Drosophila melanogaster: one gene and its partner. Changing the gene in region 1 together with any one later gene gives a genetic interaction. Each region holds a gene or a part of one and is shown in the gene's direction. Other genes may lie near its edges.

Region 1 (7,178 bases):
TCCGCCCACGCTGATCGGTGAAATCAGTTTCTGGGTGTACGTGAAGTCCTATCAATAATGGAGATAAAATAAAAGCAAGTGGAAAATCCATCAATTTAAGCTGAACGGATCTAATTCGGCTTTTCCACTCACATCGTCTGTATAGATTCGCAGGGGAATGTTTTTGAAGGACTCCAAATCGCCATACGGTTCCATTAGCCTCCGATTGACGGCCCAGAACTGATCGAACTTTTCGTTGACCAATCCCAGCCAAAGCTGATTGTGGTCCTTCTTTTGCATAGCGGATATGACCAGGCCGCGGTGCTTAAGCACATCTGCCTCCTTCAGGCAGGACATGTAGTGCGATTCAAGTAGCTCCCTAAGAGTTGCGGATCATCAGTAAAAATTCAGTTGGAACCAACAGTTTGTGTACCCTAGTCGAGGTAACTATGCTATTTTCAAATATTTGAAACGTATTAAAAACCCTATTGTGGTACGTTTATCTTTGTGCGAAGTTGTTAATTCATATTTGGTCCAACTTTTATATGACATTTTCTCTTATAACACGGGATTTGCTTGATGGGCAATTGTTTACCCTGTTATTACTTCGACATCCACGGTGATTGTTCATTGAGACTCGAAAAGGGAAAACTATATATGATTGCAATCCCAAGTTACGACGTGTTAAAGATAAGATTTCGCAAACACGACTGTGGGGTACACAAACTGGTATGGCGATTTCTTTAATAAATACTTGGAGTTGAGCTTGACGAGCATGTCCTCGGGGAACTTGGAGAAGTGAATGGTGAGGCACCAGGGCGTGCTGTCCTCCTCCGGATGCAGCAGATCGTATAGGACACCTAACCAGGATTCAAGACAGTACCATCATTAGTATCAAATGGGCATGCTATGATATCATCATCTCGTTAATGTAAACCCCACCAATTGGATAGTGAAGTCGCAGGGGCGTTCCATTGAAGTCGAACCACACAGCTCCATCCTGGTGTTCGGCGCTTATATAGCGTGAGAAGTACTTGCGAACCTGCCAGGATATGTACGACAGTCATTGGGATCTTATAATTGGTATGGCCATTTCCATTTGAAGCCTTTGTTTACCTTGTCAGTCACCAAAGGCAAGTAGCTGAGTCGCGATATCATCAGATAGAAAGGCTCCGGCTTAATGCCCACGATCTCGTCCCGATCCGCCTGGAAGCATATGCCTATCTGGCCCTCCCAGATCATTCGCAGCACCTCGCGGTCGTGGGCCATGTTCCTTATTTGGCTTTTGTTTTGGCTAAATTATATTTCCTTTTTGCACAATACGATTTGCGATGTTACCAGATGGGTGAAACAATGCTATTTGATAATAGTGATGGCACTTGGCATTCGAAGATGGCAACGCTGAAATATCGCACGCCACTTTGCTGCCAGACTGTTTGATTTATTTTTATTCATAGCTATTTTTTTAAACACACGCGATTAAAATATTTGCTCACAGAAAATATTTTCACCATAAATTTGTAACTTAATATTTCACATAGATATATATATATATATATTTGCATTCAAAATAATATAAAATATCAAAAAAATAATATAACAAGTTTTTCGTATTGATCGAAATGTTGATAACTCCAACAACGCAATTATGAGAAATTAAAATTGCGCGCTAGGAGAGGAAAACATACCAAGATTATAAAAATATGATATTAATTTATTATTTTAGACCTAAGAAATAATTCAACCGCTTTGTTACCAAAAAACCATAAGTTATCGATCGCCATTAGTTATCGATGACGATTGCAGCAGCTGCATGCAACCGTGCAGCGCATAAATAAATAAAGTCGACTTGCCTCTGTGCTCGCTTTTTGGTGATTTTTTTTTGTGCTGCGGCTGCGCTTTTCGAAATTCGAATCTCCGTATTCGCTGTGCGATATGATGTGATGTTTACTATGAAGTGATCAACTAAATGCGACCGCGAAGCTATCGTAAAGCACAGAAAAACGGATGAATTGAAGGAAAACTCCAGAAATCGCATAGCCCAACTCCAGCAACAACAACAACAACAACAATTCGGAATCGGAGGCGCATTGTGTGAGCTAGATCGGCGAAGGAGAGGGAAAGAGAGCAGGAGACGAAGGAGAGTGGGAAGAAGGAGAGGAGAGGTGGAGGAGTGGTGCACAGAATGGATGTTGAAATACCTGTTTTGGCTGGATATCTTAATGTGCCGACCCAAACTGGATTTTCGCTAAATCGCATCTCGAAAAAGGTATGGAAAATCGCCGTATTTCCGCCCTTCTATATAAATATTTCCCCATTTATCAGGGTTTAAAAAGTTACTTTCTGTTTGCAATTATCCTACAAGTGCGTAGTTTTCGATAAATCAAACAGGACCTATGTGTTAATGTGAGTGTGTTATGTGCATGTGTTTCTGTCTGCATACTTGTTGCATACAAATGAGGCCCACTGTGCGAGTGGGAGTGAGACAGCGATACGCGGTAGAGGGAGTGAGCGAGAGAGGGGCCGACTTCATACAGTTAAGGCCATAATATTAGCATATCATTTTTAATAATATTAATATTCCAAGACCAACACAAACCCTTTAATGAATTAAGTGAAACCGTATTTAAAAACAATATATCAGGCAGTAATAATATGATGCTTTTAAGTTAAATTAAAATTCGAATAACATGCTATGCATTGATCCTAATAACTTTACCCCCACTGTTGGAGTTTCAGATGGCACACACAGCTGGCGATTCATGCTACTTCGTGGTATTTGTGTTTATGCGCGACAGGAAATTCTTGAGCCAGCAGAAAACTGGGGAAAAAGGGTGGTGGTGCAGGGGATCGCAGAGAAGGGGCAGAGTGAGGGCGAATAAGTACTTCACGGTTTAGCCCATTATGCTCATACTCTATTTTTATATTTTTTTTTAGCATTATCCAATGCAGGATACTACAAAATCTTAAGACAAATTTGAATTGATTCTGGTTATTTATACACTGCAGTTTCATATGCATATACATATACATATACAATACATCTTCTTCAGTACGTTACTAAGATATAATCGTTTTAAGACATCCAAACCGATTTAATCGAATCCCAATTTTTTCTTTTTTTTTTTGCAGAAAGCATGCAGTCGCTACTGTTTGCTATTCAAGGCCAGTCGGCATGGGATTGCCCGCCTGGAGATGTGCGAAAGCAAGGAGGACCGGAACCCCAAAATCTTCACCCTCGAAAACTGTGTGAAGATCACTCAGGAGCCGCCTCCCGAACGCCTCATTCACATTGTCAAGCGGCAGGCTACCCTAACACTGAGCACAAGTAGCGAGGAGGAGCTCAAGGATTGGATCACCGCCCTGCAAACGGTGGCCTTCTGTGACACCTCACCATCGGGGGGAATCGGGGCCATCGAGGAGGACAACGACCTCTACTGCAGCTCCTTTGTGAGTGATCATCTCTGTATAAGCGAAAACTTTCTGGGGTATTTCGTTATATTTGCGTAATCTTATAGTTGTCAAAAGGGGTATACGATGAATCTAAAGCGTTCTTAAGAAACTAACGTGAAAATGCACCTCCAATTCCATTTTTAGTCTCTGACAATAATTGGCACGTTTAAAATAAGAATATAAAAAAAACCGAACCGCATAAAAAATCCATAATAATCCACACCTTTTATAAATTTGCAGGATGGCTTGTTCATTATCACGTTGATTCCATCCGAGGCCTCCATTCGTTGCTGCATTGAACCTAAGACATATATGCTCCAAATGACGCCCACTGAACTTCAGTTGAAATCGGAGGATTTGGGCGCCACAATCGCCATGTGGCCATATCGTTTCATTAGGAAGTACGGCTATCGCGATGGCAAGTTCACCTTTGAGGCGGGCAGAAAATGCACCACCGGCGAAGGCGTTTTCACCCTGGATCACACCAATCCACAGGAGGTATTCCGCTGCATGTCCGCCAAGATGAAGTCGATGAAGAAACTGATTAGCGGCGATAGTCTGAGCACCTTGGAGTGCGGTGAGAATCAGTTTAGTGCGGCAGCTGGCATGGAGCCCGGTTCGCGAAGCCCACTGCCACCATCACCGTCGAGTAATCCCCACGGTGGCGAGTTCGAGATCAACTCAACGCAAAGCTGCATATCCCTGAGGGGCTTCATTAGCTCTAACGATTCTCTTAATAACTTCTCGGCGGGTGGAGGTGGAGCAAGTGGCGCCACAGCAACGGGTGGAGGCGTTTTAGGAAGTACCGGAGGAATCACGCTATCCGTGCCCGCAAATAGCAATAGCAACAGCAGCAGCAGCAAACACATTCCCAACAAACCGCCACGCAAAAGCCCGACAACCCATTGTGATAAATACAGGAATATTGTGAAATATGAACCTGTGGCCATAACTACGATATCTTCGCCATCCGCCAATTCCGATGTGAACAGTTCAGTGATACTGAAACCCCTGGAAGGCGAATCGATATCCCTGCCGGAAACAGCAGCCGATTTACCGCCCGACTTGCCGCTGCGAAATGAGAGCGCCTCGAAAGCACCGCCTCCGGAGCGGGATTACGAGTGCATCGAAAATATCACAGAGGCGTGGCGCACAAGGGGCGTGGGCGATGTTAGGCACAGTGAACGTATGCCCATACTCTGCGATACCTCAGAATTTGTACGCCAGCGATCAGTATCGAAATCCACCTGTGGCAGCCAAAATACACCCAAGATCATAGACATCGATATCGGTGAGGGTTGCACTAGCGCCACATCCATTAGTGAATCGAATTACGATCGTTTAGACTTTCTATCGCCGAACAATAAGACATCGAGTGGCTATAAGACCATTGTGAATGTCACACCCGGTAATCGCATACGATGCAGTCCACCGCCACCCAATGAATACGAATTGATCGCTAGTCCCGATACGGAAAGCTTCCGTAAAGCCGATGACAGTCATCGCGGTTACGGGGTGCTGCGAAAGGCTAGCACCACTACGAACAATAATAATCTAGGAATCTCCAATAGCAATATCAGCGGCGGTAGTAGCACCATCACAACTGCAACGGCCAACAAAGGCGGCAATCTCGAGGCGGCAGCCATCGATCATCGCAGCTATAATGGCCTCAACTACACAATGGTCAGCAAACCGAAGCGAGTGTAAAATATTTAAGGATTTCAGATCCGATAGCAAGGATCCAGAGATCCTGGCATCGAACTGGGTGCAGTGGGGTTTTGGGGTGGATCGGGAGGAGATAGTCCTAGTTTTTATTTGTCCCAGAACTGTTGCTGTTTTCAATTTAATTCAACACAACTTGTTGACATGTTAATTTGGATTTTCCCAGTAGTCAAATTCATGACTATTTCGTTATTGGACGACGCCAGATGAATAAGCTTGTGTGCTTTTCGCGATACATTTTAAGTGTTGCGATAACAAATGTAAATGTATGTTCAAAAAAATTTAAAAAACAAAATTGAAAACAGTAACGTGCCAGTAACTTTTTACATAATTTCATACATTTTGAGTATAAGTGAAAAAGAAGAGACTGCCGAGTGCCTTACAGTTCTACAAAAAGAAAGAAATTCCTGGCTGGAAATCGAGGGAAGGAAGTGCGTCGAATCTCTAAATCCCAGAATTTGTCCTTCCCTTTGCCAAGCCAAAAACAAATACCATTCGAATCGTTCAATTTTTTTTTTTTTTGTAATTGTTTTTCGTTAATTATGTTAAATTCGTAATCTGTGATTGTATTGTTAATTGTGAAACTGTTACATTTTTAGCAAGCACTGCCCGCCACTTGATGATCGCACTCGAAAAATTCCCCCGGCTCTTACTTAAAATGTAGTGTTAAATTAAAGCAAGAGAAAAATGAAACTCAATCGAATCATGGACGTAACGAAAATTTACAAAATGTGTATGCGATTTATGCTAAATATATGTGTTTTTGTATATTTAAAGGAACTAGATTTTAAATACACTGCAATTGTACTTGTTTCCGTTTATCCGTCCGTCTTCTCAAGGTTTTGATGCCATATAAATCGGTTATTCGAATTGTTATTCCTATACGTTTTTGTATGATAGATCATATAGCTGCCATAGGAACAAACGGTGTAATGCCATTATCTCAAAAATCACCCAAAATAGTTGACTCTTATTTTTTTTTTTTTTGCTCAATCTTAGACTGTAAATATACAATAGGTTTCTTAAGTGTTGTTTTCGATTGCACCTCCTCTCAATAACCCAAATAAGAAACCCGCCCCATCGTTACCCCATGCACGTTCGAGTTCTCAAGCCAGGATTGTTGTAAACGACAGTTTTGAGTATTATGCAAAGGTCACAAAAAAAAAAAAAAAAAATTTATATAAATTAAAACGAACAAACGAAGGCGAACACAAATAAGAAAAATACCAAAAGAAAAATAGTGACGTTCATTTTACTTGAAATATATCATCTTTTTTTTTTTACTTACCTTACGTTTACGATTATGACTATTGTAGTTATTAATTTTTGTGTCTGCAAACTATTATTGTGTAAATAAAGACCAACAAAAAATCAAACAAATCGAATTGAACGACTTTCATTTGTGTCCACTCAAGTATGTCATGTTACGAATCTCAGAATCGTTTTGGCTTTTCAAGCGATAGCAACTGAAAATCTGAGTTAAATTTTGCTCTTTGTACTATTATTTAAAATAGCTGCATTCGCGCACACACCATCAAATAATCCATAAAAAAAAAAAAAAAACAAAAAAAAAACAGTAAGATGCTGCTACTTCGCCGTTGCCACAAGTTAAAGTTGCGTCCATTGGCCCGTCTTTGCTCCGCCGAATTGATACATAAGGTAATATATATAGGTAGATATATATATATATATAATATTTATGTAATTGCAATTCCACAATTTCTATTTAATGTTTGCAGGATGGCTTCATCGAGAAGCTGCGCCATAGTTTCGATGAAGAGGAGCGTAGTAATGTGGTGGTGCCCACGTTCAAAAAGGCTATGCTCTATCCGGATGAGATCGCCGTGAAAGACATCAATGGGGAGTACACTTATTTTCAATTGTATATGGCCGCCAAACGTCTGGGCATTCAGATCTCAAATATATGTGGTAAGTGACAAACCATTTTTCCGGACGTTCAATTTATTTACGGTTCAATTTCAAAAAGTTTGCAAATTCTTCTCTTTTTTCAGGCGGCGCCGCGC
Region 2 (5,904 bases), on another chromosome or scaffold:
TTCTTTATGCCCACCAGCGGCTTCACCTCGTTCTCGTCGATGACCCACGGCAATGGCAGCAGCGGTGTCACCCACATCTCCAGCGGACCCGGTGCCAGTGTCAAGCGCACCTCCACTTCGACGGTGTTTGTGAATGGCAAGAAACTGATGACCAAACGGTATGATAAACTCTATCTGGCCATCATAGAATCGTTTCATATCTGCATTTGCATTTTCAGGGTCGTCGAAAACGGCAAGGAAACTGTCTTTTCATATGAAAATGATGTTCTGAAATCAAAGACTGTGATGGGCTCCCTTCAATAGCTAATTAATTAAATTCACACATAATATATATATATATAAATATCAACAAAAATCAACAAAGGAAAAGTCATAAATGTAAAGCCGAATGAATATTAACAAGCCCAAGAAGAACTCGGAATTCGTTACCGCTTCGAAATATGATACTTTTAAAACTTTAAAACTTTGCTCTACACTACAATTTAGTTACTTTTAATGGACCGAACAGCACCATAAATGAATCAACAGCCAGCGAAAGGACCAAGCAAAAATTAATCAACAGCAGAAACACTAACAGCAGCGATATCCACACCAAAAATATGGAACATGGAACAGGCCATTGAATTAAATCAAAATTCCCCGTAATAGCGAAATATGGAAATTTATTTTTTAAGCATAGTTTTTGAACACAGCTGCCCTACAACAAAATTGCACCGGTGGAATAAAGCCAACACCATCGAGCACCACGAGAATTAATGGAAAAACCATACTGAAAATTTAGCCAATAAGTTTTAGGGGCCAGATTTTAAATATGCTGTTCGGAGCGAGTGTGTTTGGGTGTATATCTTTTTGGGGGGGATAATTATGTATTCTTCGTGTATGTATCGTTAGTCACTTAAGTTGCCACAATACTTACTAGGAAATCGAAAGCGGAGAAATTCAATCTAAGCAATGAATCGGAACTAAAATAGGCTTTGCGTTAATTTTTCTTTACATTGTAAGGGATATGAATATGAATATTCTAAACGATGACATTTAATTTTTATAAATATTTCATAACCTAGATTTCTTTATTAATTTCGATGCTGTATGCTAGCGTATAGTCGTTTTTTAAATGCTTAAGACTATTCTCACATAACCTGCAGAGCGAAAAGAAAATTAATCGTAACATAATCGCCAATAATTTAATACTTTGTTAAGCGAAAATTTCATAATGAGAATAAAAAAAAAAACACATGAGAATGAAAATATACAATAGATGCGAAACAATTAAGACAAGTGTTTTATTACTACTTTAAATATAGTTTCATTTAATTAATTCGTTGAATTTCTGCGATGCAAGCTGATCGATGATAATTCTGACATAATATTAAATATTATTATAAATAGGTATTTTTATATAAACAATTATAATCACTTATGCGAGCATTTATATTGATGTATAGAATCAAGTTTTAATTGAACTCGCTTTTAAGTTATTTTTAAATCAGCAATAATGAATAATAAACCATGAAATCTTAAGAGTGAAATTTTAAATTTTCCCGCCAACTCTCTTTGGTTGGCAACGCGACCATCCCCTGGCCGTGCTGCCAACTTTTAGCGTGAAAATTAAAAGAAATTGAAATATCATAAGTAAAAAAGCCAGAATCAAGTGGAAGAAAGCTAAATTGGCAACACTGATCGCTGGCGGTATTTTCCTACGATCCACCAACGATCACACTTCCCCAAAATTATTAACAAAACGCAGCAGGATCGGAGCAAATGGCCCAAAAATGAGTCGCGATAGTGATCCCATGAAATGGTACCACGGCAACCTGTCCCGCGAGGCAGCCGACGAACTGCTAAAGCAGGGTAAGTGCTGGCGCAGGACGCCAATTGGCCTGACATCAGTGATGATCGCTGGGATGTGGGCGTGGTGGAGCACAATGATGGGTAATTGGTATGGCAATCAATCAACAGGTTACGAGGACGGGACATTTCTGGTGCGCGAGAGCAGCACAGCGGCCGGGGACTTTGTGCTGAGCCTGCTCTGCCAGGGTGAGGTGTGTCACTACCAGGTGCGGCGACATGGCGGCGAGGACGCCTTCTTCTCCATCGACGACAAGGTACAGACGAAGATACTGCACGGCCTGGACACGCTCGTCGACTACTATCAGCAGGCGGCCAATGGTCTGCCCACCAAGCTGACGGTGCCCTTGATCCGCGATCTGCCGCCGCACAACACTCGCAGCCACGGAGTGACCAATCTGCTGCATCGCGCCACAAGCAAAAACGAGAGCAAGGTCGTCTTCGAGCTGCTCAAGTGCGGCTATCGGAATTTCGATGCCAAGAATCAGGATGGACAGACGGCTCTGCATCTGGCTGCCCTCCACTCGGACGAGGATATACTGAAACACCTGTTGAATGCAAAGGTCCAGGTCAACAGCTCCGACTCCTTTGGCTGCCAGCCATTGCACGTAGGTTTACCCACGCACAACTATGCATAAAGCTCCCTATAACCATACACTTACATTCGTAGTACGCCGCTCGCTCCAAACCGGCCAGTTTCATACGCACACTCATCTCGGCACAGGCCAATGTCCAGGGCAGGAACATCGACAACGGCTATGTGCCGCTGCATGAGGCTGCCAAGCACGGCAACCTGGAGGCTGTGCAAGAGCTGCTCCTGGCTGAGGCTCCGCCGTTGCCCAGAACAAGTTCGGGTGAATTTCCATTCGATCTGGCCAAGGAAGCGGGCCAAACGGCAGTAGAAGAATTCCTGCTCAACTACAAGCTCCCACCGGCGAATACCACAAGAGACCAGTGGTATCATGGCACTCTGACCAGAGAAGAGGCAGTAGCCATACTAAAAAAGCATGCCAAGGAGCTATTGGCCAAGCAACCTGAAGTAGACACCTCCGGCTGCTTTCTGGTTCGCTACTCCGAGTCGCCGGCGGCCTCGGGGTTGGTTTTAACATTGCTTTGTGATCAGGTGGTCAAGAATTTTCGTATTTCGCAAGCTGATCTCTACCAGAATGGTAACAAGGTGCAGTCGGGCGGGGTAAGTTATCACCGTACTTTAAATGTTCTCTTTAAAGTAACCTCTGTTTTGCAGTCCAAGTTTCTGTACATTGATGACGGTCCCTACTGGCCAAGCGTGGAACATCTAATAGCCCACTTCATGCGTTTCTCGTACGGGTTGCCAGTGAGTCTCAAGTATCCGGTTCCGCCACAGCCCAAGCCAGAGGTGCCATCGTTTGCCACAATACCTCGATCTAATATGAAGCCAAAAGCAGCATCGCCCGCTACCCCGCCCACTCCAGTATCGCCACATTCGCATCATCAACACCCCCACGTTCCCGCCCTGACCATAACGAAGAAAAAGCAGAAGGAGAACAGTAGCTCAATGTTCAACACTCTGCGACTGACGAGTCCGAAGAAAGCGCTATTCGACATGAACAGCCTGCGCAAAAACAAGTCCAAGGGCAAACGCAGTGACTCCGAGAGCAGTGTGAGTGGTTCTTTGGCCGGAACGGAGCAGGAGCTGCAGGCAGCGGCACCCATGCTGAAGAGCCTGTCGTTCTCGACGGAGTTCTCAACGTTTAACGCGGATGGCGTAACTGGTTCTGGTGCCGCCGCTGCTGGCGAAGTGTACAACGTGCCCAGGAACAACACGCCCATTGAGATTGACCTGCCACCGATTGCCCAAAAGACTGAAGCCGAAGTTGAGTATTTCACGAAAAGTGATGTGGCCATAGAGCGCGAGCGAGCAGGTCAGTGGATCGGCAACGGCTACCAGCCCACAATGGACGTGCTATCCCTGTTGGATCAGCAGATCAAGGCGCCCGCCGTGGCGCGACTAAACTCGCTTGGTCCGAACGCATCAACGGAAAGTGAGATGGCCAGCTATCTTCATCGCAAGTGCAGCGGTACGCCAAGCACACCAAGCGCCACTGAGGTGGAGGCCGCCAAGCTGAGATTCTTTATTGAGCCAGAAAAACTAGTGCTGGATAGAGAGATCGGGCACGGGGAATTCGGTTCGGTGCACAGTGGATGGCTGCTGAGAAAGAGCGGTGCCGGCGAGGAATCGCGCTTGGAGGTGGCCATTAAGATGCTTAGCGACGAGCACAGCAACAAACAGGAGTTCCTGCGCGAAGCATCAGTTATGATGCGGCTGGAGCACAAGTGCATTGTGCGATTGATTGGCATTGCGAAGGGTGAAATGCTAATGATGGTTCAAGAGCTAGCTCCGTTGGGCTCCATGCTGCAGTACATACTGGATCATGGTCATGAGATCACGGCCAATGCGGAGCTGAAAGTTTGGGCGTCACAGATTGCGTGTGGTAAGTCAAATTCAAGACAATTTGATTCAATTCAATTAATTAATTAATGTTTGTACCAGGCATGCATTATCTGGAATCACAGCATTTTGTACACCGCGATCTGGCCGCCAGAAATATATTGCTGACCGCACGCCACCAGGCGAAGATCAGTGACTTCGGCATGTCGCGATCACTGAGACCCGGTAGCACGGAATACCAATTCACCCAGGGCGGACGTTGGCCCATCCGCTGGTACGCACCGGAAAGCTTCAACCTGGGCATCTTCTCGCACGCCAGTGATGTGTGGTCCTTTGGCGTGACCATCTGGGAGATGTTTTCCCTCGGCGCACCGCCATATGGGGAAATATCTAATGTCGATGCCATCAAGTTGGTGGACAGTGGCGAACGCCTGCCGCAGCCCAATCTCTGTCCAGCTTACATCTATGCCGTGATGCAGAGCTGCTGGAAGGAACGACCCAAAGATCGGCCAACCTTTGTCTATCTCACCGAGTTTTTCGCCCGCGATCCTGATTACCAAAACCTGCCGGAATTGGTGCAAACGGTTCACATTTAAGCCAGTTTCCATTTTCCATTTTTTCCGTTCTGAGTGCAATTTTCTGTAGCTATTTATGCAATGTCTTCTATTTCGTTTTCAACGTATTAACGATCTGGAACCCACAGATCACTATTGTTGTTCCGTATCCTAGTATTCATGTTTATAGCTTGTAATATATTTTTTAATCATATGTACAACCAATTTGTGTCAAAAGAAAGCGAACAAGTGCCTTAAAGATTTAGCATATAAGCTTTGTATTCATTTTTACAAATCCATTTTGTTTCATTGGTTATACAAAATAAAAACTATTTTTATACATACTGCGCTTTTTGATTTAGTATTAAATAATACAGCAGTATGCTTTAATAATCAATGTTTAAACATTTAATGCAGTTCTTTTATATAAAACGTGGTAACAAAAGTAAATAGTTTGTTGGTAAACCGCTTAAATACTAGGTTAGTAATATGGTTTCTTGGAAAGATTATAACTACGTTAGCGTGGTTAGTGCTCTAGAAATGGATTATATATTTTTTTGTTAATTTTTTCGAGCTAGCACAACAGTAATCAAGCTGATCCGTTTATTGCCTGCTTCACATTCGATGCGCTGACGAGCTTAAGGGCGCCAAGTATTCCGTTCAGGTTCTCCTCGTTGTAGGGCTTGCCCTGGAGCGGAGTCACCACCGGGACGAGCTGATCGCTCTGCGGCAGCTGGATGCCGATCTCCTTCATTAATCCCTACAAATTTAGTAAAATCATAAGTGATAATTCTCTAAAACAGGGCAAAACAAATCTTACCGCTTCCACTTCCACGCTTAGTTTCAGTTTCATGTCCTGCTCATCGCCCTTCACCTCCAGTTCCTTCTGCACGGTGAACTTGGGAGTCTTGCCGATGACCCAGTCCCAAGAGCTGTAGTTGGAGCGCAATTCCTCAATGCCGGGGAACCATTTCTCTGTGGGATTGACCAGCTGAAAGCCGCGCTGCTGCATCGTCTGTGTGCTGCCGCCGTCTTCAAGCGTAGTTGCAGCCGTTCTCAAATACTCGTAAC

What was found.
Region 2: of Dok (region 1) and Shark, changing one suppresses a phenotype caused by changing the other (phenotypic suppression), as found in Drosophila melanogaster (one study listed by BioGRID).

What each region holds. Positions count from the first base shown.
Region 1 is NC_004354.4:7,322,425-7,329,602, forward strand, and holds Dok (downstream of kinase), read left to right. Parts: upstream 1-1,789; 5' UTR 1,790-2,164; coding exon 2,165-2,248; intron 2,249-3,111; coding exon 3,112-3,429; intron 3,430-3,672; coding exon 3,673-5,139; 3' UTR 5,140-6,382; downstream 6,383-7,178. Other genes in the region: Atg5 (Autophagy-related 5), read right to left, coding at 1-48, 133-358, 734-839, 922-1,021, 1,096-1,248; Acsf3 (Acyl-CoA synthetase family member 3), read left to right, coding at 6,736-6,813, 6,894-7,083, 7,167-7,178.
Region 2 is NT_033778.4:16,198,696-16,204,599, reverse strand, and holds Shark (SH2 ankyrin repeat kinase), read left to right. Parts: upstream 1-1,715; 5' UTR 1,716-1,772; coding exon 1,773-1,851; intron 1,852-1,959; coding exon 1,960-2,456; intron 2,457-2,518; coding exon 2,519-3,040; intron 3,041-3,094; coding exon 3,095-4,322; intron 4,323-4,381; coding exon 4,382-4,875; 3' UTR 4,876-5,174; downstream 5,175-5,904. Other genes in the region: mrj, read left to right, coding at 1-158, 219-303; Lipt1 (lipoyltransferase 1), read right to left, coding at 5,423-5,593, 5,654-5,904. UniProt on the Drosophila melanogaster protein: Following axon injury, required for recruitment of drpr and glial cells to severed axons and for glial clearance of severed axons from the central nervous system.